Struthio camelus: one gene and its partners. The protein of the gene in region 1 binds, or shares a complex with, the protein of each later gene. Links are inferred from orthologs where the notes say so. Each region holds a gene or a part of one and is shown in the gene's direction. Other genes may lie near its edges. The genes, in order: CEP290, AHI1 and MKS1.

What was found.
Region 2: CEP290 (region 1) and AHI1 share a complex: the UniProt entries of both Homo sapiens proteins name them as parts of the tectonic-like complex. The link is inferred for Struthio camelus from reciprocal best matches to the Homo sapiens genes CEP290 and AHI1.
Region 3: CEP290 (region 1) and MKS1 share a complex: the UniProt entries of both Homo sapiens proteins name them as parts of the tectonic-like complex. The link is inferred for Struthio camelus from reciprocal best matches to the Homo sapiens genes CEP290 and MKS1.

The regions. Positions count from the first base shown.
Region 1 is NC_090942.1:49,139,682-49,150,130, reverse strand, and holds the start of CEP290 (centrosomal protein of 290 kDa), read left to right. Parts: upstream 1-5,628; 5' UTR 5,629-5,955; exon of another isoform or gene 5,956-6,313; intron 6,314-8,449; 5' UTR 8,450-8,496; intron 8,497-9,132; 5' UTR 9,133-9,153; coding exon 9,154-9,255; intron 9,256-9,397; coding exon 9,398-9,475; intron 9,476-10,263; coding exon 10,264-10,333; intron 10,334-10,449. UniProt on the Homo sapiens protein: Involved in early and late steps in cilia formation. Its association with CCP110 is required for inhibition of primary cilia formation by CCP110.
Region 2 is NC_090944.1:73,412,970-73,424,288, reverse strand, and holds the start of AHI1 (jouberin), read left to right. Parts: upstream 1-6,615; 5' UTR 6,616-6,933; intron 6,934-7,337; exon of another isoform or gene 7,338-7,640; intron 7,641-7,669; exon of another isoform or gene 7,670-8,755; intron 8,756-10,969; 5' UTR 10,970-11,031; coding exon 11,032-11,041; intron 11,042-11,319. UniProt on the Homo sapiens protein: Involved in vesicle trafficking and required for ciliogenesis, formation of primary non-motile cilium, and recruitment of RAB8A to the basal body of primary cilium.
Region 3 is NC_090957.1:9,052,335-9,063,286, reverse strand, and holds the start of MKS1 (tectonic-like complex member MKS1), read left to right. Parts: upstream 1-6,236; 5' UTR 6,237-6,296; coding exon 6,297-6,376; intron 6,377-6,454; coding exon 6,455-6,722; intron 6,723-7,195; coding exon 7,196-7,351; intron 7,352-7,734; coding exon 7,735-7,832; intron 7,833-8,065; coding exon of another isoform or gene 8,066-8,089; coding exon 8,090-8,218; intron 8,219-8,511; coding exon 8,512-8,616; intron 8,617-9,029; coding exon 9,030-9,138; intron 9,139-10,073; coding exon 10,074-10,130; intron 10,131-10,952. UniProt on the Homo sapiens protein: Component of the tectonic-like complex, a complex localized at the transition zone of primary cilia and acting as a barrier that prevents diffusion of transmembrane proteins between the cilia and plasma membranes.

The DNA.
Region 1 (10,449 bases):
CCTCACAGATCATAGATGTGCAAGAGAAGCCTTGGTATGCACAGGGGTCCTCAAATGAGTCAAGGTGAGTGGATATCATCCTTGCCAAAGAGACATGTTGAAATTTGGTATCAACCCAAGTACGGTGCCACTCCTTCACCACTCCCAGTGATGGATATACTGATAAACACCTCTAAAACATGCTGCCTAACAACCTGTCTTGCTAACACAGGCTTTCTGGGAGGGAGAACCATATCACTGACTGGCCCTACACAGATCAACAGGTTGATGGTAAGTCAAGTTATATTTTGACTTTAGTTACCTTTACTTTCACAGCTTGCAAGACTGCACATCAAATCACCCCTCGGGCAGCGTGACTATCCACTCACAATCTACAGAACTGCCACAAAGTCGCTGTTTGACTGGAGGAAGTGAGGACAGACATATGCTTTACTTCCAAGACTGCTGTTTTAATTTACAATGATACCTGAACGCCTCATGAAGAATATACAGCTTAAAACAACAAGCAGCAAGATACACCTTGTGAGATGGAAGCTGCAAGATTTCAAGAGCTGCTTGTGAAAAAACAGAATGCCCCAGCTGTGCAAAATACTTGATTGTTAGTCTAATTTTGTCAAGCTGCTTGCATGGAAATCTACAGTTTGCATTGCACTATTTTCATGCCTGTACAGAGCCATTAAGCAGGAAAGACAGATGAGTAGGCGTTCATGATCCAGAGCTCTCCAGTAGGTTTGGCCTGTAAGATAGTATTCTTCTTCCAATTTGTTGAGAACCCTCTGCCAGTACATCTAGTTTTCTTCTTCAAGAACTATAGACAAGAACGGGATATGACATAAAAGCCAAAACACTTCTAGAAAAGTAGCAAAATAACAAAAAGTTTCTTAACAATCACTATCAACTCCATGATACCATAGACAGGTGAGGACAGCACACTACAAAGTATAGTTGTCTACACAGAAAGTTCAACACAAATACATGCACAAACGAACACATAGTGACACTCCAATGGTATCCTCAGTTGGGAGATTTGGGAAGTGGGAAGCCACTTTCTACCCATATGGATTTAGGAGAAATTAGAAAGTATAAATTTGGGCAGGAATACAGCTGCAATCCCTAAACATAAAACAGCAATTTACCATTCCATAGTTAACTATCAGCTAATAAATATGCTATCTGCCACCTTACATTTACAATAAATCCTTGCAGAAGGAAATAACAAATAATACATTTGTGTTGATTAGATATAACTTAAGACCTACTTTTAGAAGCTTGAAAACATATTTAAAAATTTTACTGTACTGGTTAATGGCACTTACCTTTTTTACACCCCCCCTCCCCCGCACCGCTGGCATGAAGAATAGTTTACGTTTCAGTGAACCCTGCTTGAAAGAAAATGCTCTAGGCAACTCATCCTTTTCTTCTTCAGAAAGATACGGGTAGCAGCAGTAATAGAGAATTGGGGAGAAAAAAAAGGAAATACTTCTGTATGGGAAAAAAGCTCATACACTTAATCCCATTCAAGATTTCTAGAGATCATTAGATCTTATCTAATGACAAGATCATTAAAATTCATCTCAAACTTTAAAACTGTTACAGCTTTTGGATGAGAGGACTTACTACTTCAGAAGACACTCAGCATAACTGACATCTTATTGATATCTCTGGCTTCCAATTTAAAATTCAGTTCAAACCAACAAAAGTAACAAGCCATCAGAAAACTGAAACTTAGAAAATGATTCAACTTATTCATTGTCCACAACAGAATCTTACTGCATTCTAAAGACTTAACTTTATCATTCTCATACACTGAAAATATTCTCATTCTCAATTTTATTAAATATTCACAGATATTAAAAAAATGCCTTACACTTTCAGTCATACCAAAGCTTCATTACAAGACAACAGCATTTTCAACCACAATCAAACTGCAACTGTTCTCTATAGACAATGTAAGCAATAGTGTGGCCAGTCTGCAAAACTCCATAGGCTCACTTTGATGAAGAGTGCCTTGCATGTGCAATGTGAAGCATAATTATTATCTCAAGGAGCCTAATTCTGTGTTATATTAATGAGGCAGCTGGCAATGAAAAAACAAGCAATTTGCACAGGGATCAGGTAGCCTCTCAAAAACCTTTGTAAACATAATAATGATCATTTGTGTACATACCTAATCATAACATGTGGATTCCCCACTCTCTCGCTTGGAGTTCTAAGCCAGCATAAGACACAGACATACATGGAAGAGATCTGCAGAACTGGACTTGCATCTCAGTTACTCTGGAGACATGTACTTTGATAATAACTGAGGCTCCCTAACTAATTGAAATGTATTTACAGCTCACACAGAAAAGTGACTCAAACTATGAAAGGTGTGTGTGGGGGGGGGGGAACAAAGAAGGCTGAATTGGTGAATACCAGACATATACGATAGGTTGCCAAAGCTAGCAGTTTAGTCACTTTAAAAAGTTATTTTAATCCAGCACCTGAAGCTGTAGCCTCACTTGTCTTGCCTTCTTGGTCCCCTTTCTATAATTATTTCATTTTTGTTAAACCAAATATTCTGTCTGCTGACTTAGTATCACTGTTTAATGATAGAAAGAGATCATATACTGTATTTCTGTTTGTTCTGTTGTCCCTTTTCAAAACAGCCTTTAAACTTATCTTCTCCTAAAAATGCTGTCCCAAGGCTCAACTTCAGTTTGAAGCACTTTAGATCCACAGTTGAGGTTTAAATGATTGGGTTAGAATAGCATATGGCAGGCAGTATTTGGGAAGACAGAAGGAGGAAGAACACAAAACATGCCTGTACTCCCCTTCCTCTGGCTGGGACCCTAGACTAGAAAAAAATTAACAGAAGTTTTAATGGAGCAACCTCCTTCTGCAAATACCACAGGATCAAGGGGAAGTGGGACTAATCTGCATAATTTTCTAATCCCCATAAGGGGGATACATTACACTCTCAAAGCCTCCAGCTTTCTCTTTGCACAGTTTATTAAGTATCAACTAGTTAAGGAACGCCAATTCTGACTCGGAGTCAGAACATGTGGTGCAGGAAGGAGGAGAAGTTTCAGAGTGGGGATGACTGTGAAGTTTGCTGGCAATCAGCCAGCTGAACCAGAACTCAGACATTTTAGGTACCCTGGTATAAACAAGTATCAAAACATATACAGTGTAAAAATGGATAATAAGAAGATACTGCATTGTTTAGTTTCAATTTGTTCAATACACTTGATGTAACAATCAGCTGAAATACAAACTACACAAGAATAATACATATCTTAAAATAATTAACTCTTACAGGACTTAATAACTCATTAGGTCTGCCTTTAAATTTTTTTTGCTACTAAGCTATACATTTAAAAAGTAACAAAAGAATACCTTCTATATTCAGAATAACTGCAAGAATATAATGCAATGTTTCCTCCTAAGACACAGATGCAAAATATCACATCTCTAAAATAATGCTAATCAAACAGATCAACACCCTCAATGCTTCAGAAATACAATACTATTAACTGCATGTTCATTAACTCCATAGATCAGAGTATGCTACATGGGTAGCATAGGCTGAAAAGGCAGCCTTTAGACTCTGCTATGCATGTCCTTATTTAGTATGCTTGGACCACATGTGCCTCTTCCGTAAATAACATTTTATTAGATCTGTAATACTGCAGTTTTTGTATTAGCTTTTTGAAACAGCATACTATATCAAAACTGTGGTTTAATACAGATGCCCAACTCCTGTATCAGGGTAGGTCAAGCTGCCTATGATACAACTTAAATGTGTTCTGGCTCCAGATCTACAAGCATGCATTCTCACCAAAAGAAGATGCACTTATAAAACTCTTACCACATGATTAAGTGTGAGGCATAACAAAAAAAAAAATCCACTTTCTCAAAGCCATTCTGTATTTTGTATATTTCCCCTTTTAATGTAGGATTACTACTTCCATTCTTTCCATTCTATTTTCATTTTTTAAAGTTATCATGCCTACTTCAAAAATCCCCTTTAGCTCTACAGCAATCCTCTTGACTATCTATACTACACAATTGTGAACTAGATGTGGTTGCACTACAAGTACATGTAGTAGCTTTTTTGTTTTTTTGATTCTGTAACACGACAACACAAACATAAATGCTAAACCTCATCCTGCAGCAAGTCCACATAACTCTGTGCCAAACTTATTCTCTTTGGATCACCTCCACCTATAAAGCTCCTCCAACTAAAGAAATCATTGATTTACACTTAATAACGATGAATTTTGTTTTTAGTCACATTACCTATTCATGAAATATAGTCCTGTCTCTCTTTTCCTGCCCTAATTACAAAGTTTCCTTTTCTTCCCCACTACAGAGCTATAAGTAACCAGCCTCTGTCAAAGGTATAAAAGCCTTTACCTTCATTCAAGAATTAGAGTTAAAATGTTACTGGAACAAGTTACATAACTGTAAGGAGTGCCAAGCGTCTTGAGTTGTGTCAGCCTTCATTAAATATAAACACTGATTAAGAGATAGCAAAGAAAAAGAAATCATGAAGCTAGAGAAAGCCTAATATCAAGAAAGTCAGAAAACTACATTAGGATCACCCCTCTCCATCAGTACAGAGAGCCAACAAAAAGATCTTGAGCTTTCAGCACTCCTGCTGAATGAATACAAAGACATAAACACAATTCCAATGGTTGCTGTTTTCCCCCTTTTTATTTGAAAACGTACGTTCGTGCCCAGTTAGCTAAAACGCAGGATCCCAAACCTTTGGGGCCATCCGACACTACCAACGCTCACGGGGCCTTGCAGACCACCGGCAGAGTCAAGAGACCTAACCAGTCTATAGGTGCGATCCTTCCCGTATTGCTCTGCAAACTATCCTTTGAGGAGAGATTGTTATATACTTACTCACACACATATACACAGATAGAGAGACTTGGAGAGTGCCGCAGCCCCTGCTTATTTATACACATATACACAGATAGAGGGACTTGGGCAGTGCCGCAGCCCCGCAGCCAGCCACCCCTGCGGGAAGGCCCACACTGCCTGCAGCAACAGGGGGAGGCCGGGGGTAGGGGCCTGGGGGAGGGGGGGCAGGGCAAACGGCCGCCGCTGGGCACGAAGGCGCCGGTGCCTCCGTGAGGAAAGAAGCGGGCTGAGCCGCAGCGCGGGGCCCACTGCCCGCCCCCGGAGCCGGCTGCGCGACCGAGGCCCCGAGGCGGCACCGGAGCCCGGGCCTCCGCGGCCGGGTGCGGAGTGGGCGCGGATGAGGCCCGTGCCGCCCGGCCAGGGCAGAGAGGACACCTACCCCCACCGCGGAGGACGACCGCGGGCAGCATCAGCTCCGTCGGACCCCTCCCCGGTGCCCCCTGCGGAAGGAGGGCCCCCCACGCCGCCGCTCCCCACCTTACCTGAGGCCGCGGACGAAGCGCCCTCGCCACCGCCCACACCCCGGTGCGCATCCGCCCGCCCTCCGCCGCCGCCGCCGCCACCGCCACAGACGCCCCGCCGCACTGCGCACGCGCACACCGCCCCGCGACGGCCGGCGGCAACCCCTGCCCCGCAAGGGCTGTCGGGAAACCGCTCAGTCAGTGGCTGGACGTCCTCAAGGTGTGCCGGGATCTGTAGTCCCGGCGGAGGCGCACGGCATGCTGGGACACGTAGTCCGCCATCAGCAGCGGGAGGTTGCCGCCTGCCGCCGTGGTGAATCGCGTGTCCGGGCGGGATGGCTCCCCACCCCGTCCCGCTTTCCCGCCCTGCCCCCGTTTCCGCACCCGCGGGGGTCGCGCCGCTCCGCGATGCTGAGCATCGGTGGTGCTCAGCTTGCATTGTGGGGCTTGTAGTACCGCGGGAGGCCTGGCCCGCCCCCGAGTCCACGAGGATCCGGGTCGCCGGGAGCGGAGCCGGCGGGAGTGTTTGATGGCGTCGCCTAGCAGCGGCCTCTGCCGCCATCGTGGCCCTCGGGGAGCGGTGAGGTCGTGAGTGGGAGGCGACGCTGCGCTGCGGGAAGGGGCCGAGGTCCCGGGGCTCCGTCCTGTCGCCGCGCGGGACTGCCGGCTCTGCCCCGGGGGCGCCGTGGTCAGCGGGGAGCCGGGCCGCGGCTCACCTGTGCGGGGCGGCGGCGGCCGTTAGCGCCGTTACAAACGCGGCGCGTGCGGGGGTCGCTGCGGGGCGGTGCGCGTTTGCGCCCTGCTGCCTCCGCTTACAGCTGCGCGTCACCTCCGCCCCCGCCTGAAGGCGGACACGAAATAAGGTGGTTTGCCGCTCCGGAGGAGGCGGGCGAAGTGGAGGCGGAATTGTATCTCGGCAGCATCGCGGAGGAGTCGCGGTGTGTGTCTCGCTGTCACTCCCGGGGCCGCGATATACAGATTTGAAAGAAACGGGAAGCCTGCACGGGATCCCGTTTCGGGTGTGGCTTCGTGGTGCGGTGCAGCCCTGTGTGCTGCTAGTATAGGAGAGCTCGTTCTGGATAACCTAGTCTGTAGATCTAAGCTGGGATAATCCTCCTAGAGTAAATAACTAAGGATTTAGCAGAGTGTGTCTCCTGCACGACTGTGCTGCTTTTTAGTATTTAGTCTTGCTCAAGTGTACGTGGCTCTGTATTGCATGTTACGTGTGCCTTTATGGAAGAGGAATGGCTCCTCCTAATGCTGCTTAATTCACTGTGATGAAGATAGTGTATCGGCATGGTAGTTTAGCTGTCTTCTCTTCATGTGGCTTATTGTAGGCAGCACTGGGTGTTATAACTTGAACTTGCCCGCCACACTTCCCTTTTTATCTGCCTTACAGAACTCTCTAACATCAGAATGTTTTATATATGCTTGGTTCCCTAGCTAAGCCAAGAAAATCTTGTGTTAACTAAAGTCAAACTCATGTATATTTAACTGCTTTTACAGAACCGTGATCTCCTCTCCCCACCCAGATCTGTCAGCTAAAAGGCACACACTGTAGTGAGGGGAAGGCGTCAGCTAAATTTTAGGACGGAACACTTTTCAATTGAATAACTTATCTTTATTTTGTTGTCCTCAAGTATATACATAGTGTGGAATGTACTGTACGTTTAGGTTGTGCCCCCAAGAGCTTACTCTAGTTGTCCCCCAACAAGTTGGATTTTGTTTACATATATTATAGATAGATATATATCTATCTCTTTCAATACAATTTCAGATTGTTTTCTTAAAGACATTATTTAGTAAATAAATAAAAAGATTTTAAAGAGGGAAGATTGGATAACAGTGTCAGTAATAAGGTTGTAATAATGCTCTCAGAATAATTTTGACTGTCAGGCATTTCATATTCATAACTTCTGCCTCTCAATTGTTTTAAAAAAAGTGTTTAAAAGGAAAAAAAAAAACAAGTAAGTTAGTGAGGATCTTGAAATTAAGTAGCCTTCAGTTAACTGAAGAAGTAGGTGTGCCAAGATCAGTATGCTCTTTCTCTATTATTATATTTTTTAAATGAAAGACTATTAGAAGATGATTTTGTTCTCAGATTTTTGGGTACATATTTGTTATTGAAAGCCTTCCATTATGTTTGAAGAGATGAACTCAGAATTTAAGTATTAATTACTATTTTAAGTTAAATATTTCTCATTCACTGACTATGGTCCATATCCTTATGATGCTGTTAGCTCTTTTGTGCTCTCTGCCCTTTAGTCTTTTTCAGTCTTTTTATATTTGTGGTATGATATGGTCATTTCTTCTGTCTGCTCTAATAACGTTTTATCCTTATGAATATGTCTTCTCTTCATTGCATCTGCTGAACTGACATTTTGAATGTCTCCTGCATGTGATTTTCTGGTATTTTCCTTTGTCCTCTAGGAAAATCAGAAAAGCAAAATTTGTATATGATATTGTTAGGAAGCCATGGATTATATAGAATGCATGTTTTCTAAAACATTTAGTAAAAACTAAAGAAACAATAAATACAGAGAGAGCTGTCAAGTAGCATGCATCAAAGCAGATGAGAAGAGTTTGATTTTTATCCTCACTTATGTGTACACTAGGAGTTCAGAGTTTTCCAGTTCTTTCAGATTACATAGGCATATTTCCTGGGAAAATAGTATCACTTTCATTAAGGAAGGAACTTTCAGTTGTTGAGTCTTCAAACTGCTGAATGTGAACAGGGTGAATGATGAACAGATATCAAAATACTATACTCAATCTACAGCTTTGCTGTAGTTCTGAGAGAAGTCCCCCCCCCCCATCATAAAATACCTATCCCACTTGTGTTATTAGTTTACTTAGTATTAATGAACTAAACATTCTTGTTAATTTTATGTCTCTCTTAACTTTCTGAACCGTTAAAAGACGGATTTTTAATTTAGGGCAATATGTAAGTAGACTAAAAATATTCCTTTTAAACTTGGCAGAATTCAGCTTTCGACATATTGCTGATATGGCGGTAGGAACAGCTCTGGAGAATGTAGTAATCCAAGACTTCCATTCTCTTTTGCCTTTTTCAGGTACTCCAGGCCTATGGGAAGTCACTGTGACCCGCAGCAACTATCAGGTAAACTGTAAAACAAAACTTTGCACCGCTTCCAGATTAGATTTTCATCAGTTTCCAGATGGTTCACTGTACTTTTGTGGTTCAGGTACTCTAATCAGAAGGAAAGGATATTTAATACAAGAATTCAATGTCTTACAAATGAATTTCAACAAATGGATATGAATAGTATCAAACTAAAGCAAGTGCTGTGCTTTAAACATAAGAAATAATGATTTTGTCACTATAAGGAGATTTCTGTCCTACAGCAGCTGCAAATGCTAGTTCTAAAAAAGAGCATCTAGCTGCAAGAACAAGTGTTTATACATTAACATAGGGGCGCTGCATTAGAAAATTGTGAAGGACAAAAAAAAAATAAGAGTTAAAATGAAGGTTTCACATGGGTCATCTTCAGTATTTGTGGCACGAATTCTTTGATTGTGTCTGGTCTAATTTTTAGCTTAAAAAAAGGTTTTATTATAGACCTCTTGGTTACAGTAGACCGAAATGTGAACAGGGTGTTAATCTGTGTTACAAAATCCATACAGCTATTTAGTATCATCTTATGTGGTTCACTGGCCTGCCGCTGTTAAATCATTCGATGAATGATTTATTGACAGTGATAACATCTTATAATTGTTACTTTTATTTTTGTTCCAGGAAAAATATTATAAACTCAACATGGCACCCATTTTAGATTGGAAGAAGCTTATGAAAATTGATCCAGATGCTCTTCCTCATCAAGAGGAACTAGCAGATAGATTGCTGGAGACTATGTCCAAGGTACTCAAGGGGAAAACAGTGAACAGAAGGGTTTTGTTTTACTTTCTTCCCTCAACTCTCTCTGGTCCTTCACATAAATAAATGATTTATTTTTTAAATTCTATTGACGTTAATACAAAAATACTGTTGTCTGTTTCCTTAGGTTGATGGAAAAGACTTAAAAAACGAAGCTTCTGAACAATTGATACATCTTTTTAAAATTACACAGTCCCTAATGAAGGTTTGTTTTACTTTCTACACTTCTGTAGTTTATTTATTTTATGTAAGTGAAAGCATGGTCACTCTTTTTTTTTTTTTTTTTTTTTTACTGCATTGGACACACTGCTTACTCCTTAGAGCAGTTATATGCTAAATGTGTGCATGCACCTGAATTCCTGCTTACAGCTGTTAGGACTGTAGCATGTACCAGTGGGAACTGAAGAGAATAGAACTAAAGCAGTTGTATAGTTAAGGAAGCTTAGTTTTATAGGTAGAAAATGCAAGCAAATACCTCAGAAATAGGTAAGGTGTTGTAAATTATTGGTAATGATTTTAACTTTATTAAAAATTTTTGTGGCAGTCTGATGTTTTGGAATAACCTAAATTGCATAAATGTCACCGTTAATGGAAGAAACACATCTATCCTAAAACTATTTTTGTAAATCTATCATGCTGTCTTGTATTCACTCATAAATATACTGGAAGCAAGGAATTAAAGCCGCAGAGGTTAGCACATAGCTTTTAGAGAGGCTTTTTTGAGTCATTTTTCTTAACCATAGCCTTGGATTGTTTAGATAGGTAAATAGAATAAAGGTGATATTTCAACAACATAAAGTTCCTAACTGTCATGTGTCCATCAGCGAAGTGAAAATATGTAAGTGGTTATATTTGTTTGAAGAGAGAAAATTATTATTTTTTTTTTTTTGGTAAATGTTTTCAAAATTCTGAACACGAGGTATGTGGAACCGTCTGTTAACTTATGCTAATAGTAAACCTTTTTTCTTTTCTTACTTACTATTTTTTTTCCAGATGAAAGCTCAGGAGGTAGAGCTGGCATTAGAAGAAGTTGAAAAAGCTGGGGAAGAGCAAGCCAAATGTGGTAAGCAAGCCTTTTTTTAATAGACCTTTTATCTTTAATGTCGTTTATAAATGACTTGCTAAGTGCATTTGGTAGTTTTTTTTTAAGTGTGAGGAACTGAATGAAATACCAGCCCC
Region 2 (11,319 bases), on another chromosome or scaffold:
ATAAAAGACTAATTATCTATTAATCATAGGAGACACTAGGGAAATAATTCAGAAGAGTCAAATTCTCATCATAAGTCTTACTCAAAGCATAGTGTATAGCTATTAGACAGCATAAGAGAAAAACTATGTAATTAAAATGTATGCACACTGTTGAGCAAAGATGCACTAACAGTTCAAGGAGAACAATGATATTTTGAAAAGTTCAAAAGCAATAATGCTGCACCTGCTTGCAGGCAAATTCTAGCTCCAATAGCCAAAAACCTTCAGAGACATTAGACTTAAAGACATGTGCTGTTACACTGCCATCGTGTGGCGAGTTGCCTGCAGCTTTATATGAAGAGACAAAATGAGATTTCTTCAGCTGTTTCTTTGTATTTTTTTCCTCACCTCCATCCCTGGAAAGGTGATGGAACAGCTCATCCTGGAGGCCATCTCGAAGTGTGTGGAGGACAAGAAGGTGCTCAGGAGTAGTCAGCATGGATTCACCAAGGGGAAATCATGCTTAACGAATCTAATTGATAACCTTCTACAATGGGACAACTGGCTGGGCAGATGACAGGAGAGCAGCAGCTGTTGTCTACCTGGACTTCAGCAAGGCTTTTGACACTGTCTCCCACCACATCCTCGTAAGCAAGCTCAGGAACTGCGGGCTGGATGAGTGGAGGGTGAGGTGGATTGAGAACTGGCTGGATGGAAGAGCTCAGAGGGTTGTGATCAGTGGCACAGAGTCAAGTTGGAGGCCTGTAGCTAGCGGTGCCCCCCGGGGGTCAATACTGGGTCCAGCATTGTTCAGCTTATTTATCAGTGACCTGGAGGAAGGGACAGAGTGCACTCTCAGCAAGTTTGCTGAGGATACAAACCTGGGAGGAGTGGCTGATATACCAGAGGGCTCTGCTGCCATTCAGAAGGTCCTCAACAGGCAGGAGAGTTGGGCGGAGAGGAACCTCCTGAAGTTCAACCAAGGGAACACTTGCAAAGGAATAGCAACATGCATCAGTCCAGGCTGGGGGTTGACCTGCTGGAAAGCAGCTCTGCAGAGAAGGACCTGGGAGTCCTGGTGGACAACAAGTTGACCATGTGCCAGCAATGTGCCCTTGTGGCCAAGAAGGTGAAATGATATCCTGGGCTGCATTAGGAAGAGTGTGGCCAGGAGGTGGAGGGAGGTGATCCTCCCCATCTCCTGAGCCCTGGCGAAGCCACATCTGGAGCACTGTGTCCAATTCTGGGCTCCCCAATACAAGAGAGACACGGAGCCACTGGAGCGAGTCCAGTGAAGGGCTCCTAAGATGATGAAGGGACTGATATGAGGAAAGGCTGAGGGAGCTGGGACTCTTCAGCCTGGAGAAGAGAAGACTGAGGGGAATTCTGATCAATGTGTGTAAGTATCTGAAGGGAGGGTGTCAAGAGGATGGGGCCAGACTCTTCTCAGTGGTGCCCAGTGACAGGACACGGCAGAGGCAACAGACACAAACTGCAACACAGGAAGTTCCATCTGCACATGAGGAGAAACTTCTTTGCTGTGAGGATGACTGAACACTGGAACCGGAGAGGTTGTGGAGCCTCCTTCCTTGCAGACATTCAGAAGCTGCCTGGACAGGATCCTGGGCAACGTGCTGTAGGTGACCCTGCTTGAGCAGGGGGGTTGGACTGGATGATCTCTAGAGGTCTCTTCCAACCTCAACCATTCTGTGAGTCTGTGACTCTGTGACTTCCTAGAGCCTGGGTCTCATACTGGAACTATTCTTAACCACATCCTCAGTAAGCTGTTTACTAATTCAGAACTAACCATAACAGCCTTTTGGACTATGGATCAGTAATAGGCGTAGCAGAAGCCAGGGGCAGGTGGGACTGTTAGATTTATTGCTAGGTACCTTTCAGGCTGCAGTGATAAACCGAAGATCTATACACCAGTCTCTTGACCCTTCGGGCTCCAGTTTTAACATAATCTTGAAAGTCTTCCGTAGCCATCCACAGAAAAATAGGGGCTTTAATTTCTCTCATTCACAAACCTGTAACTAGTATCAACCTTTATCAAACCCCAGATTTCCTTCAGGGTCTACTGCAAATCAGATGGCTGAGGCCTGAAGAATAAAGTAGAAATCTTTCTTCTCCTAGAATACCGGAAGGCGTAACCCAGAAGGAACACTCTTTTGATATATGGTGGAAAAAAGGTGAATTGAACATAAGAGAAAAGAGTAGATAGATGAGAGAGAAAGAGAGAAAAATGTTATGAAATGAGGAAAACTGTCAGTTGTAAGGCTTGGAGCCCTGGGATGCAAACCTAAATACTCTTTGCAGCTTTGCTTTAAAAAAAAAAAAAAAAGCTCCAGTGAACTAGCATTAGTATTGCAACCAGCATCACTGGTGGAGCAAGACCAGTAACCAGTAGTACGGATCACTTCTTGCTACGAGCAGGGATACAAGCAGAGATCACCCTAAAGTTTTACTAAGTATGAGTGAGATGGTCATTTTGGAAGTCAGAACGAGCTAGCCACCCAACCCTTCGCTTACCCTGAAGGCAGGAAAGAGTAACAGGTACACTCCAGGAGAGAACAACTAAGTATTGTATGTTATGTAGTCTACCTCTGAAATGCCCTGTCTCTTCCCACCCTTCAAAAGATACTTTTTGTTGAGCTAATTTGTTTATGTGAGCATTTAATTTTTTCAGGTTTCTGGCTGGAGAGGTTGAGACTGTTTATTACTGAACTCATTAAAATATGAATCCAGCTATTGTTGCTGCAAGCCGAGTCCTGGCTGAAGAGTTAAATTTTAGGGGCTGTTGTTTATTAATTCTCACTTAGTATGCCTCGCAAATTAGCAAAACTAATTTGTGTAACATGGGAATGATTCCGTTAGAGAACTGGTGAGTGGCAAAACATCCTGATTCATAAAAAATGTCTCCTGGAGACAGACACCAGGATAGGTGCTGCACTGGTATCACATGGCAGACTGCTCTAGAATATCTGCAGATGTGCAGTGTGTGTAGCCTTATGTTTATGGGGAAGGACAGCATTTGTGTGGCATTATACCAGGTAACTGCGAACCTTTGCAAGGGAGGTCTAAGGTTGCAGTAGAACATGGTATGTGGAAAGCTTTTGGGAGTCTGTCTTCACCATTGTCCTATAACAGATTCTTAAGAATATATCTAGTTTTCAGCACAGGTTGTTACACCATGTCTGACACACTTGGCATAGGGCTACTAGCCACAGTCCTAGGGACAGCTGCCTCAGCAGAAGTGTCAGCCAAAGCTCTAATAAAGCACTGGAAAAGGCAGTGCAGCCCAGTTCCAAGTTAGTTAAGCATAGCCTGTGGAGGTATAGTAACTACACTAGGGTTAAAACAACAACCTTTATTTGACCCCTGACTAGAATATAATTCGGAAAAGCCAAGAGAATATCAAACATCCAAAACAGAGCTGGAGGCCAAGCAGGGTGTCAAAGGTTATTTTGGATAATATCAGACACTTATATTTAGGCTATATTTAGAAGCTAAAAGTCCAGAAGTGGCAGAAACAGAGCTATGGTAGAAGTTTGGAGCAGAAACCATGTAGGCCCCATTCTCATATTCTCTAATCGCAGATCCTGATTAATAGCTGCAATTAAACCACAATAACCGGTAAACTAAATAAGGTTTGAGGTCTCATATGCAACTGCCCCCATTGTTCAATTGTCAGCATGGTTCTTGACAGTTTTGAACGGGGCCAAGTAGCGCTCTCTTGACAATGCTATGGTAAGACAGGTGTTAGCAAAAGTCAACGATTATTATACTCAGTACTGCCTACAAATGCAGCCAATAAAGCAGCACCTGCTGTCAAATCTGAAGGACAGAATGTTCTGCTGCCCTTGATAATGCATTTTAAGTTACCTTTCAATCCTTCTACAGTGAGAAGGTAAGACATTCTAAAAGAAGTAAGCTGGTGTTGCTTTAGTAAGAGACAAACATCTTTACCACAGCTCTGTCCCTTCCCTTGAGGAAGCTATTGAAATAGCTATTTCCTATTGAAATAGGAAAACTAATAAACACTCTCCCTGACCTGCAAGATGTCCATGATATAATATGCAAATGGAGAGCAATTCTAAGTTATTTAGAATATTAGTTAATTACTGCAAACAGAGGGTAAGAACAGTCCCTGTAGGTTTTGACAATTCTGTCACTATAGTCAACATCCTATAGAAAAATCAAAATCATTATTATAAGAATGCTTTTTTTTTTTACTCAAGAGAGCATTGATGGACATTAGCAAGACTGCAAGAATGGTAGTTACTGGCAGAGGTGAAGTAGGTTTCAGTAGGTTTCACAGCTGTATTAAAAGCCTTTTGCAGCTGTATTAGAAGCCAAGGTTGAAGTTCGGACTAGGGCTTGTTAATAATGCTTAGATGCTTGTTAGAAACTTAGATGGCTGGCTTGCAAATACTTATGAGGCTACTCTTAAGTCTCTTGACACTATTATAATAGAGTTTCCTGATTGTACCAAAGTGTTAAGATTGGTATTGGTGTTCGGGTTCAGGGAAAAAGGTTTTGAAGAGGTAACTTTTCTGCTGGATCCTAAAACAAACCATGGAGATAAAGTACGGCTAGTCGAACAGAGTAAACACATCACAATAATCATCAACCAGTATTCTCTTTTGGGGGACCATTTTGACACGTACTCTGTATTGAAGGCTGGGGCTAGGATTTGCATCAGAGTTTGGGACATACAAGGTCTGGAAAAAACTGTTAGGTTCCTTTTTTCCTGAATCCTGCTAGACCACAGACGTAGAAATTTACCTGTAGGATGGAAGAGGTGGCATGGAAGGCTTCTATTCTTTGCTGGAACTTCCTGGGACCACAACGCCAAAATAAAGGCTGCCGCTGACTGAGATATCTAGCTTACGACTAGCCCAGAGACCATTAGGTGGTCAGTAGAATTTCAGTAGAATCGGTAGAATTTCTCATAGCTTTAAATATAAAAAGGATTAACTTCCACATTTGGTTCTAGTTTGGTTGGTTTTCCATATTTTCATTTTAACGATAGGGACAGTCACTAGTAACCAAGAAGCTCCATATTACAGGGATTCCTATATATCAGTAATAAGCAAAAATGAAATTATCTGAACCGTGAGAGGCAATAGTTGTCCTGCTAATACCTCATTCCCCTACCAGTTGAACATTTGCATGCATTTGAGAAAGAGGAGGGCAGAAGAGAACTGGAAAAAGAAAATAGCTTCTGCTATTAATGCATCTTGAGGAGCAAACAAAGAAGGACGTATGTTCTTTTGACACAGATGGTGTATCTTGACAGAATTCTAGGAACTGTTATACCTGAGAACAGCGAATGTCACAACCACAGTATCACAAGCATTCACTGACCTCTAGGTCATACAAATGGTACATGGTCAACTGAAAGTGAACTGAAGACTAATTTTGCCTGATTTGGCTTATGAACAGATACAGTCACGCTAATTCAAGACCGGCATTGATTTCAGGAGCTAAAACAGTGAGCCCTCTAGCGTTGAAGAAACCTGCAACATCCACTTACAAATAAGAAATGATCAAATCTGTCTTGATAATCATCAGTATTTAATTATACCTAGAGAACAAAAGATTGCTTAAATTAGCAACTAAATCACAGAGAAAACAAAAGTTTCTGAAGCATCTGTCTAACTTCAGTACATACGTCTGTGCTGCCATTTGCAAGAGCAGATGTCTTTGCTCTGCAGTCCACGGAAAAACTCCCGATTGCAATAAAGATCTACTAGCCAGAGACTTTATTATTCTAAAATAACTTTCACTGTTAGTATGAGCCCAGAGAAGGGTTTTGACTTTTGAAATGAACTACAATTTAAGGTATCTTTACGGGACTGCTCTGTTATTAAAGCTTTCCACGGTTTTTTTTCCTGTTTTAACTTCCCACTTTATGTTTTTCAAGAAGGGGCTTATCAATCTGTCACCCATTAGAACGCAAAGCTACGAACAGGCTCAGGACGCCTGAGCAACTGCAGAACTAATGAAAGCTTCTGACCTTTCTCTGTTTTGTAAAATACACTGTCCTGGTCTAATAAAGAGATCTGTGCAAGGCACATCGCTCTTAAATGATTAGTATTTCTCTCCCATTTTCCACACGCAGTCACGTAGGCGCAGCGAGCAAAGGCGGGGTGCAAACCGGGCCAGCGCACTCCCGCGGCGGAGAATGTTATCTGAAGGGCTTGTCTCGGCCCCCGCCACCTGCCAGCTCCGCCAGGCACCGCCTGGCCGCAGCCTGCGGCGGACCCGGCGGCGGGAAGCGCCTGCCGCCAGGCGGCCCGAGCACTGCCGCGAGGCCGGGAGGCTCCGCAGCGCCCTGCGCCGTGACGAGTGGCACTACACCGCGGGAAGCGGCGCCTCCAGGCGGCGCCTCGGCGCGGGCGGCAGCAGCGGCCCGAGCGCTCCTGGCCAGGCCCAGCCGCGCCGCGCCGCGCCGCGCCGCCACCGCCGCCTCGGGGCGCCAAACGCGAAAACGGACGCTGCCCGGCCCCGCACGACGGCGGCCCCACCCCCACCAGTCGTCCTCGCGCATGCGCACGAGGAACACCGCCGCCCCCCCGCGCGCCCCACAAACTGCCGAAACGCCTGTCGAAGCACCTGCCCCCGCCGCGCAGGCGCGCTCCGCTGAGCTCCGGCAGCTCGCCACGCATGCGCCCCGCTGCCGTCCAGCCGACGCCCCCTGTCCGGCAAGAAGGGCCGTGTGGGTGCCCCACCTAATCCGACCCGACGTGAAACCCAAGCCGTGCGGGCTCCCCGTTCCGCCCTCCTGCACGCATGCGCGCTGTTTCCTTGGCAGCTTGTAGTTGTTTTCGGCAAAACCAACTGCGAGGCACTGCGAGGGGGGGAGCTCGCGGGATGAGGGAGAAACCAGTGACGGGGGGAGGCAGTACAACGGCAGGACGGAGCCGAGCGTGAAGCCGACAGGCCAAAGTGAGTGATGCCCTCGCGCTGCTGAGGAGCTGCCGGGCGGGGGCGGGGGGGAGCGGGGCGACGCCGGGCCGTGCCCCCGCTGTGGGCGGGAAGGCCGCCGTAGGGCCGCGGTCCCGCCTGGGCGCTGCCGCCGCCCGTTTACGGTGCGCGGCTGCTGGAGAGGCGGGTAGGCTGGGGCACGCCTCCCCGCCGCTGCTCCCTCCCCCGAGCCCCCTCCCCTCGGAGTCGCCCTATCCCTCTCCCCTTCCCCCTGCCGGGGGCGGGGGGCTCGGGCTGGGGGTTGGCAGCCGTTACAGCGCGCGCCGCGACGCAGCTGTTGGCGCGCGCGGCAGCTGCCGGAGCTCGCGCGGGCGGGCGGGGGGCGCCCCGGTCCCATGCGTTAGTCCCCTGGTGCTGGATGCTTCTAGTGGCCCTTGATATCTCTGTTGTTTTCCGTTATTCCTCTAGGCAAAGAGAAACAGCGTTCCGGAAATAAATACCTAAGCGTGGTCTGTTACCGAGAACTCATTTTTGTAATTGTAATCTGTGATAAGGCAGAGACTTAAAACTGTACGAAGTAATCAAGTGAGATGTACTGCTTTATAGGAAACTGAAATCCATAGTTTTGCCGTTAGGGCAGGGACGGATTTTAATTCAACCTTCTAACTAACGAAAGGTCCCGAGAGTTCTGGAAAAAATGACGACTACTCAGAAACTAAAGTTTTCTGGTATGTTACTCGTGCACAATTCAATGGATAGATAGCATCAGCGCTTTTAAATGTTCTTTTAAAGTAGTGTGGACACAAGTTTGTTGCAGGTACGTCTAAACAGCTAGAAAGCTGCAGTGGCTCTAGTAATACTTTCGATACGCTGATTCATAGGTGTTTATGTGGTAATAATAAGGCTTTTAAGAAAGCTGACAGCCAATGCCACTTAAATAACTTTCATGAATAAAAATGGGCTCCTTTTTGGTATCACATCCATCATTAGTAAATAGGGACAGATTCTTTACTGTTACTTTGCTGTATAATTATGATTTAAACCTTTCTCAGCTCTGAAGAAGAAGTGATACCTATAAATATTTAAGTGAGTGATACCTATAAATATTTAAGTGAGAAACCTACTAGTAAAACCCAAGGTATCCCACTATGATGACTGATCTAATTTAAAAGTCTGATTCCATTTGTTTCTAGTCACTGAAGATTACATTTAGTTTTTGCAATAGTGGAAAAATATGAGATTTAGTTCATTAAAATTCTGAAGGATGCAATTATAGTCTATCAATTCAGTTTCCATAGCGATCTTAATCGGATAGGGGGGCTTGTCACTACCATGTAACATTGAACAAATTGTGTATGTTCTCCTTCATTACGATATAGATTTGACTTTTTTTCTTTAGGGGTTAATGAAATTTTCCTGAGATGCGTGCTTTGTGATGTGTTTGGGATAGAAAACATCTCTATGACAGATAACAAAATATAGCTATTGTGAAGACAGCAATAGCTTGATGAATTGGAGAAAAAAACATTTATAAATAAAGACAAAATATTAGAGGACAGCAAATTAGATGATTTTTCAGAAAGGTGCCCAGTAAATTCTTGGAAGCTTTGGCTCCATGATTTTGTTTTTCTGGCTATTCTCGATGGCTGGAATTGACTGTTCCCAAGTGTGATTTTTTTTGTCATTCCTGGAAACATTGTCTTATATTGGCTAACACAGAAAAGATGAAAGTTGATCATGCAGAAATACCACTGAACAGATGCACCTCAATGACAACTGAATTTATTCAGATCGGGGTACTGTGGTTGCTGAATTTGTGCGATTAACTCTCTCCTATTTTAAGGTGAGATTATACAGAGCAAACACCCTTGTTCTTACCCTTGTCGATTAATGGGCTATATTTACACAAGTTGCTTTAATGCGCTATGTCAAAGGTTATGTAATTCTAACTTGGAAATATGTTGGAAATAACAGCGCTGTCATAGGACTTGCTAAGATAGATATTTTTGCTGAGTAAATAGAGGTAAATATAGAGTGGTGAACTCACCGGTGAATTTGGTACGTTGTATGTTTTGCAGAGGAATAGTGGTGGAAATAAGACGGGCAAAGCCCTTGGAGAGGCAATTGTTCAATGATAAGCAAAAATATCTGCAAAATTAATTTGTCTGTAGTTTTTTTGTAGTGTGATTTATTTATCATTTGGCTATAAAATTATTTTCATACTTGGAATAGGTATACACCATGCTTACTTTGCAGTTTTGTTCTATATTGTTCCTCATATTTTTTTCTTTGTATTAAATCTAAAAAGCATTGGTTTTTTTCAAAGGTGGTTGAAATCACTAAGCTAATAATAACAGCAGTTTTTGTGTTTCTACAATCTGCAGTGAATGATTAAAGTGACAGACTCTGCTATATTTTATAGCTATATTTCATTTTCTGCACTTTCAAATTATAAATATTTTCCAGCTGATTGTGAATTCAGTAATTGAAAAGCAGCACTTAACAGCCATGGGCTTTAGAATGGGCTTTCTATGTACCTAAGTATAAACTTCAAAGGCAGATTCATTTTTAATCATGTTTTCTTCTTCATATCTTGTAAGAATTAGGCGTTTGTGTTACTTTTAACTATTACTGTTTTAATTGTGACAGTAAAGATTTGCTTTATCAGGCAAAATACATTTTAGTAAGGGAAAATACTGCTACCCTGTTGGTGAAATGATGAAACGTATTATGGAACAAAACATTTTTTTTCCTCCTCTGAAGGCAGCTCTGGTCAGCCTTGCCCATTTCAAACATGCTTAGACTGTAGGATAGTTAGTATAAATGCTTTTGCTTGATACACAAAATAAACTAATGAAACCTGGCAGCTGACTAATCAGTACTTTTGTAATTCCAAACCAGCCTCAGGTCTTTTCCTTTTTTGAGTGGTTATTGTTTTGGGGTGGTTTTGTTTGTTTGCTTATTTGTTTTGTTTGGGTTTTTTTTTTTTTTTTTGATTTGGCTTGGCCAGTTGGCAGACTAGGCTACTGTAAGCAGTAAGTAGCACTGTTTGGGGGAATGCTAGCTGGCTTGGACTAAAACTGTGCCAGGGATAATTTAACTACATAGACTGGCAATATTTGCCGGTACATCTTAATTTACTAGGATGGATGTAGGATGTACTAGGATGTACTAGTCTGGGTGTACTTAGATAGTAGGGTGTAACAGAAGGTATTACATGAAGAGAACTTGGAGCTATTGCCTAACAGGCTATTGGTGAGATAGGTAGGTATAATAATTTATTGCATGTAAGGCTAAGGGGAAGGTAATACACACATAGGAAGCTAGGCTTCATTAGTTCCACTATTTACAAAACAATTGTTTGGTATTGAAGTTTTTTGTAAAACATATCAAATTCTGTTGATGAAAAGATAAAGCTGTATAATATTATTTGCCTTTAAGCTTTACTTGGATTGCATTTTTAAGCTTTTCTCCCCCTCCAGGAGGGCCTAACATTTTTTCTTTAAAGAAATGACTTTTGTGTAACTGCTCATCTGCTCTATGTAAAATGCAAAGGATTTATGTAAACGTAAATATTTAGAAATTTGCAATAAAATTAGATTTACTGGCAGCTATGAATCTTTGCACTGGAGGCTATCAGCTGACTAAAATGTTGCTTTCCTGATGATGTTATCAGGGCAGGAATCTGATAGAAAGGCTTCTTTGTAAATGGCTTTATGGATAACTGTTTAGATAAATCGTGCATTTTTTTAAAAGATAGAAGGACTATAGTACTGAGATATTTGGCTGCCCAGGAAAAAAAGTCATTTAAATTGTTGTAGCATTGTTTTTTATTTATTCACAAATAAAAAGCATCGGATTAGGGAGAAACCTGCGCTGAGATGGTAGGGCAGAGAGCTTGTCATAACTAGGGCGAATATTTATTTTCAGGCTGTTTGTGTTGTATGCCTGAATTGAGGCCTGTACTCATCCTTGATATTAATTTGCATGCATTAAATTTGTAGTATCAAGTCTATGGACCAATTTGTTCATTAAAGTTGTTAATTACTTTAAATAGGATGATGAATTCGGAGGAAGAAACGGGTAGTATGTTGAGCCATTCTTAATTCAGAACTGAAAATGCCACCAGGTAAGATTATTTTGTGTTTGATTTCTAATATGTATTTTATAATCAGAACTAGATGCGAATGATAGGAGTTACTTCTATCTATAAATTTGTAATGCGTTGACTTAGTTTTGAGTCAGTGTTCATAGCTGATTTTCGAGGGTTTTTTTGCCTTTTTTTGGTAAAAATTTACTTCTAATGGTAAACATATAATAGCTGAAGATTCAATAGCCTTTTTTAGTGATGTACCAAATTACACTTTTAATTCTTTGGCTACAAATGAGCATGCCTCAGGGGAGGAG
Region 3 (10,952 bases), on another chromosome or scaffold:
AAATGTTGGGGAGGATTCATGTTATTCATTTTTAAAATTACCATTATTCATTGTTTCAGAAAAGCACTAAGGTTAGCGTTATGATGAGAGGTATATACTTGTATTCCTCTATATTTAATAGGAATGTGTGTCTATACAGCAAGAATGAAGAGACTAGTGAGGCTTCTAGATGCCTTTTCCCTCACTGTGTGCACTGAGTTTGAGTCGTCAGGAGTGTAGGGGATGCTGTAACAGGGCTGCCCTGTTCGGTTCAGCCGCCTGCCTCTCACAATGGCAACACCATATCCTTACCAGGAATACCTAGGTAATGAGGAGGCAGATACAAAGGATGCAGACCCTTCCAAACAGACTTCTTCCTTAATCCATGTAGAAGTCAGTCATGCCTGAAGCAGGGAGCTGATACCTCTTTTACTCATATAAAAAAATCCTTACAGACTTAATACCAGGTATCTGGGTTATCCATAAGAATGCTGAGTTTTTTACTTACACTAAATCATTTACTTTGATGATCTTATGATACAATATGCTCCTTAGGCAACCGGTGTGCTGAGTAACTTGTTTGCTATGTCTCTTATTTTTCTAATCTTTGATTTCTTTTTTCTGGTGGATTCTAATGTAATCAAACGGAAGCCAGAAACCATCTGCACTGAACTGTTCTCAGAGTATCCTGGATTACAGGATTTAATGAAAAAGCAAATCCTTCCATTTAATGAGAGGGTACTGATATTTTCAAGAAACTGGGCTGTTGACATTGGATTGCTGGAAAACCAGGACGTTGTGTGCAATATTCTCTTAGTAGCTAAAGATGCATATCCAGTACTGCGTGCTGTATTCAGAGATACCTCTTTGGCTGAGTCTGAATGCTCAAGAGAAACTGCTTATGCATCAAAGCAGAAGCTAGTCAGTGATGAGGGATAGACTTCAAAAGTGTGTGTGATTCCCCAAATGCTGCATCTGAACTGCCCCACCAACCAGATGAAAGTTCCAGGGGATGGCACCCCCCAGCAAGAAAACCAAGAAAACCCAGGTCATTACTCCAACCTGTACCTAGAGAATTGCGTCCTCCCTTCAACGGACATCTCTTCCTTCCTGTATGCACTTGTAATAGTTGTGATGAGGTTTAGATCCTATTTAAGAGACTGTCTTGGCTCACTCTCACTCTCAAACAGTTTGAGATGCTTTCCAAGATCCTGCACAAAGTCAAGAAGCAATTTGTCTTTGATCTTCCTGGAACAAGCAAAACAATTGTGGCTTTGAAGATCATGGAGCAAATGAGAAACATCTTCCACTGTGAAAATCAGTCTCTGAAGAAGTTTGTAGGGTAAGAAGTGATCTGGTCACTTGGATTAAATTGGTGTTACCTGAGTAATATCAAATCAAAATAACTTCAGAATAACCCTCCTCTTACTAATTCTCAAGAGAATTAAGAGCAACTCCAAGGAAACCAATAGACCACCTCCACTGCAGCTCTGTCTTGTGGCTCTAAATCATTGTAATCATTCACTTCCTTGGAGAGGCAGGGTCACAAGTCACTGACTCAAAACATTCATAGACTTAGAAGAAATTTGGTTCACTTGTTTTTATCTTGGTCTGATTTTTAAATCTCAGTCAGATTTTGAAGTAGCTAGATTCAGTTAATTGTAAACTGTCTAAGCAGGGAGTTTCAAGGAAGCATGTGGAAATGTGTATATTTCCCCTTTTTTCTTGCATTCCATTCTCTGCACATAAAGAATAAGTTCTGCTGATTTGGCATCCATTTGCCGAATAGATATCTTTGGCTGACACAAACACACAATAATCATTTTGAGAAAAGGTGTGGATATTAAAAAGAGAAGGAATGGGAATGAAAACCAGAATGAACTGAGCTTTGGCCCAGATACAGCATTCGCTAACTGCAGTGAGACTCACACATTCAGTGAATGCTGGATTGTGTTAGACTTTAAATGACTAAGGTCTTAGTTTAACACTCTTGATTGTCAAGCCTGGTGCTGACACCAAAAATGACCACCTGCCTTCCTCAACATTGTCCGTGCTGGGGTTGATGCAAGCTTTTTTGCAGCTGTGCCATGAAGTAGACCTTGGACTTGTGCCATCTAGATAAGCATAACAGGAACGAATGCCTTTTTGGTAGAGGATTTCAGCCAGAACATTTCTCCAGTCCTGTTCTCACTGTGTTTCCACTTGTGTCAGCACAGAGAGGTCAGCAAGCCACCATGGGTGGACTAGACACTTTGCATCAGGAAACCACAGCCTATTTCAGACATTACAATACCCAAGCAATAATCCCTGGCCTGAGCAGAGCAGATCACCTGGCACAAGTGCTTACTGTCCCCACTCACTCTGGGAAGAAAAGGGAACTCTTCGTTCCTGCTGGAGCTCAGGCGCTGCACAGCCATGACCACAAGGTTCATGAACCTAGGAGAGCGGGACTGAGGGACATACCTGGGGGGGGCCTTGCCATGAGGCCCCCATATAGGAAGGGTGGGCCTGAGTTTTGACTCCTGCTCCTAGGGCAGAGCCAAAGCCATTTGGCCAGGGGCTGGGCAGGCTGTGTAGCAATGCTTGCACACAGCCAATCCATTGGAAATAAATATTTCCATCTTGCAAATGATGTAGCACCCTGGAGCTGAGATAGGAAGTTTTGCTTTTTTAGATAGTAAACAGCAATAGCCCTCCAACCAACAACATGCTAAGAAACAGAGAAATAGTCAATACAGATTTGTCTGATCACTTCTTTTTATTTATCCATACTTTTTTTTTTTTCCCCAGAAATGAGACTTGCCCGTCTGTGACACATGTTGCCTTCTTAAATGGGGACTTCCCATTGTGGTTGATGAAGCATAGAATTTTCATCCAGAAGAAAACTGGTACCAATGTGCCCAGGAGCTAATGCAGAAAAACAGTCAAGATGAACCGAACATTTTCTGCATCTTCCTGGATTTCTTCCCATCCGCTCATCCATATGGTTGCGGTCTTCCATTTTCAGAACTATATCGTCAGGAATGGCTGACCAAAGGAGTCTGTAACGCCCAACAAATATATGATGCCATGTTTCCTGTAATGGAGAAAATTCTCCAAGAATGTAAATACTTATGCCATATGGGACACTGGAAATGTTGTTTAAACAGGCTGGAAGTGCCCATTCATTGCCAGGTGGCTACAGAATAAAGAAAAATATGGAAACATTTGAAACGGCAGAGTATGTGACCAGGATGCGCCATCAGTTATATCAAGCATGGCTATTCCTTCAAAGATACTGCAATCCTGTGCAGTACACAGAAGGCAGCAGAGGAGTTTTATCGGATCCTGGAACCTGCACTAAAAAGATAAGTAAGGAAATACAGGGTAAGGTTGGTCTTTGGGACAGCAGAGAATGTTTTAGGAAACATTATCATTCCTGACAGCATCCAACGTTTCTCAGGCCTAGAAAGCAGCGTTGTGTTTGGCATCCACCCCCATGCCTGCACAAAGGGAGATTTCTCTCAATCTTTTACTGTGGATAGCATCCAGAGCCAACGCCAAACTCTGTTTGCTGCTTCACAAAGAAAAGATGTTCCTAGAAGACATCTTTAGATGATGGCTTACTCTTCTGTGAGTCTGCAGACACTAGATTGCTTCACTCATTTTTTGTTCAGTGACATTACAGGGCAGCATTAAGATTGTCTGATGTTTTTTTCATTCTGTAGTTTATGCCAAAAAATTATGCAGTTCCATCTATACATTTGGTCATGTACAGGCCTGCAATATTTCATAAAGTTGATTTTAATGGAAGGACATCTCACCTGGGGAGGACAAATTGCTGAAAATGGCAATTACAGAAAGAAGTAAATGATTGCAAACAACTTGGACAAATTATAGAACAGTTTGGAGACTTGTTCTTTCAATTCCCCTGCTTTTTTAAACTGATTGCATGATTCTGACCTGTTTCAGCACAACAGAGTGGAAATACTGGCTGGAAACACATCGGGGCCCTCTGTGATTGGATCCCAGCTGGTGCAGATGCAAATGGTCAAAATCCTGCTTTTTTCTAGGAGGGAAGATGTTGGTGAATTTTTAGCCACATCTTCCCTTTTCTCATCCAAAAAGATATAGCCACTGCCTGCTTTTGGGACTGTCGTCACCTCCTCTGGGACTGGGGCTGTAGTTTTGTGGCTACACTGAATCACCTTAAATGCAGATTTCTGCCAACAGAGGCAGTTCTGTCCTCAACAGCACAGTCCCAACGCTCTCATAAGCAGGGTCTGGTGTGTAATGGTGCGGTAAGTTGGGAACTCATTTTTTTTTTAGAAAATTAGTCTTTAGCCAAATCACTTCTACCTCATCGTGCAGCTGGCCAAGTGCTAGAGGTGGCAGGAATATGCTCCTTGGAGAAGGAGGCAGCACTTCTCCTTCACCTTGCTTCCTTTTGGCAGCCGCTCACCTGTGTACCCACTCAAGCTGTTTAGAAACTGCAGCAAGTCACCAAGATTTCTTTGTTCTAACTGGGACTATTGAAATTAACAAGATGTTGCAATGCCGTGTGAATGTTGAAAGCTCAATTCTTACTGTCAGGTCAAATTTGATAAAAGCAGTATAGCTCTAAACTCTGATTGTGCAGAAAACGGTTGAGAATCTACCACATAATTAAGTCTTCTCTTTCCATTTCAAATGCTAACTGTTGCCAGAGCTTTGCCGATGTTTGTCTTATAATGCAGCTCCTATTACTGTTTGCTCTGACACAAGGCACTATTAGTGGCATGAAAATGTCATATTTGCCCTGAAAATGACATTTTGCCTCTTATACAATTATACAAGCTTTCTGCTTTTGCACAGAAATGGTCGTTTGAACCACAAGGGATCAGGCTGGTGGGCCTCCCACCAAACTGAAGAGCAGGGGAAGGTGGCAGGACAGAAGAGCCTGAGCCTTGGGTGAAACATGCGCTGTGAATGAGGCCACAGAAATTCTATCCTTTGTAGTTGGGAAGGCAATAGTCCCATAAGAAATGAAAACTAGGCCCAGAAAGGAGTAGCACAGGATGTGAAAGAGAACCAGAGCAGTATGCACCTTCTACAGGGATGCCAGAAGGCTGAGAAAGGAGTCAGGCACTTGGAAATGTCTTGCTCTAAATGGAGACATTGATGTACTGGGCTGTGACCAATCAATAAGTGCCTACGATGGAAGACGGATCAGAGAATATGGGCAAGGGTGATGTGCCCGTGAAGGTCGGGGAAGAATGTAAGGTGTGACTGGTCACAGCTGTTGCAAAGAAAGCTGAATTTATCTCAACTCAAAGGGGACTGGAGGGCAGCCTTTGTTTTAGATAAAGGGCTGTATCAGTCAAGTGGATCCACTGACTCCATCACAGTTGAGTGGATCAACAGGTTATGTAAATATTTCTCCCAGAGTTAATCAAAAGAGTGTGAATGTCTCCCTGAGTTAGCCAGACCAGCATGGCAGGGGGTGTACACATGACTCGGCCCAACATAGAGTATGAAACCTAAACAACTAGCAAAAGGAATTTTGAAGAGAGCAATGGGCTTGAGCTGCTTCCAATCCACGTATTTCTTCCCTGAGACTGGGGAAGCCCAGCATTGTGATGGTGAGCATATTACAGAGACCAGTAATGGGAATCACTTTTGTATTGGGATTTAACTGTATGTTGCGATTGCTGTATTCTGCTAAGTGTAACTTACGCTCGTATTGTGGTTTCAGTATATTGCTGTATCACTCTGCTAAATCAAAATCCCGTGTAACGTCAAATACCTTCAAGTAAGTAAATCTGAAATTAAACATTGCACCCTCCACATGTGGAATATCTAAAAGACCGTGATCGGAGATTACTGGACTCTGAAACAGGCCTGTCAGAAATGTGGTGGAGGGACAACGACTGGGGAGCTGCTGAAGGACCAAGGCCAGTTGTGCTGACAAAGCACAATGCTGGATGGTAAAAAAGCTAAAAGTCACATCAGACTAACAGTGCAGCCACGCCAGTGCAGGCTCGTCCCCTCCCTTCAGTGCCGCCAGCCTTGGGGGGCAGGAGGCGAGGACGCAACGCAGTCTCCGGAAAGGCAACCCGCGACCGAGCCGGGCGGCCTGTTCGGGTCCGGGAGCGGCACGGCGCCAGCAGCGCGGACGGCCCGCATCACCGACGCCGCGGCCCCGCGGCCGCAGCCCGCCCCCGCCCCGCCGGGCTCGCTCCGCCGCCGCGGGCCGCCCGCTGCCCGCCAGCCGCGGGGGGCGCTGGCGCCGGCGCTGCCTCACGCGCCGCCGCGGCCTCGCGTCCAGAGGGAGGAGGCGCGCGGCCCGCTCGGCGGCCATGGAGGAGCCGCTGTGGAGCGCGGACGCGGCCGGCGCCGTGTATCGCTCCCGCGACCCCGTGCGCAATCTGCGCCTCCGGTGAGGGACTGCTTCTCCCCCCCCCGGCCCGGCCCGGCCCGGCCCGGCCCGGCCTGACGCTGTGCTCCCTCCCCGCAGGGTTCGCATCCAGCGGCTCACGTCCGCCGGCCTCCTCCTTCAGCAGGCCCCGCTGCCGCCGCCCGCCGGCCCGCGCCGCCCCGAGCTCCTCGGCCTGGCCGCCCGCCCCGCGCCCGGTACGTGGGGTGCCCCGGGGGCGGCGCGGGCCGGGGGCAGCCCTCGCAGGGTGCTGCCGCAGGTGACCGGCCCCTGTCCCGTAGGTGCCCGGCGGCCCCCGGACGAGGAGGAGGAGGCCGTGGTGGCGTGGCAGGAGAAGCTCTTCAGCCAGGTGGGTGCGCGGCGGCGGCGCCTGGCCTCCCCCGGGGCACGGCTCTGCCGCCGCCCGGGCGGCCGCTCTGCTCCCCTGCCCGCTCCTCCGCTAGTCGGGGCGCCCGCCCGTTTGTGGCTGTGAGGGAGCCGGCATGCAGGCCGGGAGGCAGTTTGACTGGGTTTCTCCTCAGCGTGCTGCCTCTGCGGCCCCCAGACAGCCATGTCTCCCGCCTGTCCGTGCATCCCCTCAGGATTTCTGTCCTTGGGGTGAGCTGCTGTGTCTGAACCCCTTTGGGAGGGCAGTGGTGGGTGCTGTGGGCTACCTCGTCCCAGAGTGGTATCAGGGCCATACTGGACATAGGGCTCTTGGCTGGGATTCCCGGAGGATCTTATCCCTCTTTGATGCCTTTAAAAATCTCAGCTGGAAAGCTTTTCTGGCTCTGACCATGCTGATGAAGTGCAGCTTTTACGTTTTACCTGTGGTGCTCTCAGTTTGAGGTAGATCTGTATCAAAATGAGTCAGCCTGTCAGACTCCCCTGGACTGGCAGTACCATGAGGAGATCCTGAAACAGGAGAAGGCTGGAGGTCGGAAGAACTATCGCATCTTCACCTACACTGATCATGACCGATTCACCAACCTGGAAGAGGTACCAACTCCTAGGTACACATAATCTGTACAGCAGTATCTGTCAGCAAGGCCAAGCCTACAGCTTTTTAGGGCAGAGGGGAATGTTTATAATTTCTTAGGCATGCAGAAGCGGGCTAGACATCATGAAAGCAGGAGAACATACTGCCTCTGCAAGGCAGAAGTGGTATGTTTACCTGGTGCCCCAGAGCTGGTGCCCTCTCCCCTGGTGGAGTTCAGCTGTGCTTTGCCACAAGAGTGGAGAATGAAATCTAGAGTGTTTTAGTAGTTTGTTCTTACATGTATGTGCATAACTACTTGTGTTCTCCCCCAAGAGTGAGACTGTGTTTGAGAAGGATGTCCTGTTGTAATTAGGCTAGTTCTAACTGTGTTTCTCTCTTCCAGCACTGCCAGAAGGTTACTGACTCAGTTCATGAGGTGCCATCGTATCTGGCAGAGAGGATGGCCACTGTGAGGAGGAGAAGACAAGACCGTAGGCCAATGTGAGTGCAAAACTAGGGCTCAGAGCTTGCTAATGCAGATTTCTTGGTACTAGTGCCTCAGGTGTGGAGGAACCTGGTCTGTGGAAGTTGGCAGCTTGAACTGCATACTGAGAGCTCTCAGGGACTGGCTTTTGTGCTCAGAACTGGCACTGTGACTTTTCATCCTGGAGTGTTTAGTGCTGTCTGTGCCAGGCTGCTGTGGTGTGTTGTATCTGATTGTCTGACAAATGCAGGTTATGCTGTCCTGTCATTGACAGAGAAGGGAGTTCTCTGAAGTCGAAAGTCATCACTTGGGAGCCCTCGGAAGAATTTATAAAGAACAATCATGTGATTAACACTCCTATTCAGACCATGTACATCATGGGGGACTTGGGACCTTATGGAAAGTAAGTAACATCTTGAACTGATTTGGTCTCCCAGATGGAAACTCATCTCCCCTCCTACTCAAATCACCTGGGGAGGGAATTCTAAGAGCTCAGTAATTCCAGCTACTATTTCATTCCTCTTTCCTCCATTGGGAGGCACTTCCCAAAGGTTTCTTATACTACTAGGGAAGTATGGGTGTGTTTGTTCCCTCCTGTGTCTCCATGTGCATTTACTAGCGCTGCTATTCCAGAACAAGAAAGTGTACATGTGCTCTATTTAGACTGTGTTTGTCTTTCTTGGTATCTTCCATTAGGCTTGGTCACAGGGAATATGAACATGTTCTTTGTACAATCAAGGTAGACAGCAATGGTGTGATCACAGTGAAGCCTGACTTTACTGGCACAAAAGGAGCCTACCGGTGAGTGGGACAGGGCTGGTAGCACTAGCGGGACTGATACAGAGGGCCGAAATTGATACCCCCGGTCAACTTTCAGGCAGTGGATCAGCATTTAAGTTGAGGGATATTTTTAGCTTTGTTCTAGAGGCTCCTGAGACAGGTTATTGTGTATTTATGCTTGGTGTCACTGGGCATATGATCTGGGCTTTGGAGCCAGCCCCTAGGAATACAGCTTATATGTTTGCAGGATGTGAGTGACCCTTTTTGAGCCATTGATGCTGGCAGGCACTTGGGAGCGAGGAGACGGTCTTTAATGCCCTTGTGTTACTTCACAGGCCTTGTAGGGAAGGGATGGCATGGTTGATAATATTGCTGCCTGGGCCTATTCTTTGCCTAATGGGGGAGTTTTGCCCGTGTGTTTTGGGGCTCTGCAGGATTGAGCTGGATGGAGAGAAGCGAGAGCTGTGGAAATACACCATTGAGAATGCGTCTGTCCAAGTGCAGCAGGAGGAGGAGGAACGGGAGCAGCGTGTGTTTAGAGATGTAAGGACCAGCTTCCACTGATTATACTGGCTAGTTCTCCTTTCTTGGCAGAGGGAGCTCAGACATAAACATTAGTGCTTTAGACACCTAAACTTAGGCAAGATGAATGTCACTGAAGGTGAGTCTCATCTGCCTAGCAATTTGAAAACTCCAGCTCATTCAAATACTCCCTGAATATTCTGCTTCATTCCTTGGTCTAGGTTGAGATCTTGTCCGTTTGTGAGTGGTATTCATTGTGTTGACCACTGACTGCAGTTGATGTTTTTAGTTAGGACTGAGGCAAGAAAGCACCTACATTCCTGTCTTTCTAGTGTCACCTGCTGATGGTATTCCTTCCCTTTTAAGCAGTGGGCCAACTCTTTCCTTGGTCTTCCTCTTGCTGCATATATAATTACAGAATGATTTCTTGTTGCCCTTAATGTCCCAGGATACTTGGATCTAATTTTGTGCCTTGACCTTTCTGAATTGCCTTTTTGCCTTTGGCAGTTTATATAGGTTATTAATCTGTCTCAGTCTGTGATTTGTACACTTCCTTATTGCATTTGAGGTCAGTGAGGAAATCATGATTTAGCTGCACTGATTTCCCATCCATTCATTTCAGTGGAATAGTTTGTGCTTGTGGTTTTAGCACTGTGTCATTTAAGAGCTGCTGATTCTTTGGAGTTTCTTTTTTGTCTAGATTGGCCTTTGACAAGGTCTTCTCAGAAGCTGAACTTTCATGCAGTGTTAGCAGTTATGCATCTTTTATTGTATTAGATTCTTAAATTTTTACATTACTCTATATCTGCTATAACGATAAAAGAACTGTTAGCTATGCCCATCAACAGCTTAAATTGGTTTTATTTTATACCCTTTTTTTTTTTTTTGCAATAATATAAGCAAAAACAAATAATCAAAAAGACAGTTTTTGTAATCCACTTTTTCTGTATTTCCAGCTGTATAGTCGGCACAAAGAATACCTCAGAGGTCTTGTAGGCTCAGAATTTGAAATGGTGAGTACCACTGGCACTCAGTAGGCACCGGGTGACCTGGTTAGCATGGCTGCTCTGTGTACCACGGTCTCCAAAGATCGTGTAATTCTGGGGATGTGTTGGCAGCTTTTACCATGTGGCTTCTTACTGAAAATTGGGCAGAGGGAATCCATTTGCAATGCTTGTGGAGGTCCAACATGCATCTGTCAGACCTGCAGCACAGACTCCTGGACACTGCAGTCTCTGAGGTTGTATGTGTTGTCTGGAGGCCTTTGACTGTAATATTCTGAGAAGAAAGGAACGAAAGTTTGTATTTTGGGGGACAGGGGTTGCTATTAACTTCTTAAATGCTAGACAGATTGCGTCACTCCGTTCGATTAAACAGTCTTCCCACCTCCAAACTCAAACTCATGTATGCTTTCACTGATCACCAAATTACCCAGACTGGAATCTGTTCTGCTCAGATCTTGTTCCCAGCAGCTGAAAGTTTTTGTGCTTCTTCTTGTACTTCAAAAGTGTGTTTCAGCTCTTCCTGTGCTTGTTTTATTCTTGGGCTAGTGCAGGAGCACTACGGTGGGAACTGTAAGTGACTTCAGACTGAATCTTGTGTCCACTTTGAAGTACTGTAAAAGCCCCAATTTACAGAGTAGTGAACTCTGGCAGTCTGGGAATTTGGTCTAGGGAGGCTCTATTCAGAGAGACTGGTCACTTCTGGAAATGACGGTGAGCTAATACGAGAAGTCAGGTTTCCTTCCTGACCAGCAGGAAGCAGGTTAAAGGATGAAGCCTTGAGGTGCAAGAAGCCATGAAATATCTGTGTGACACCTTGCTGGGAGAGGGTTG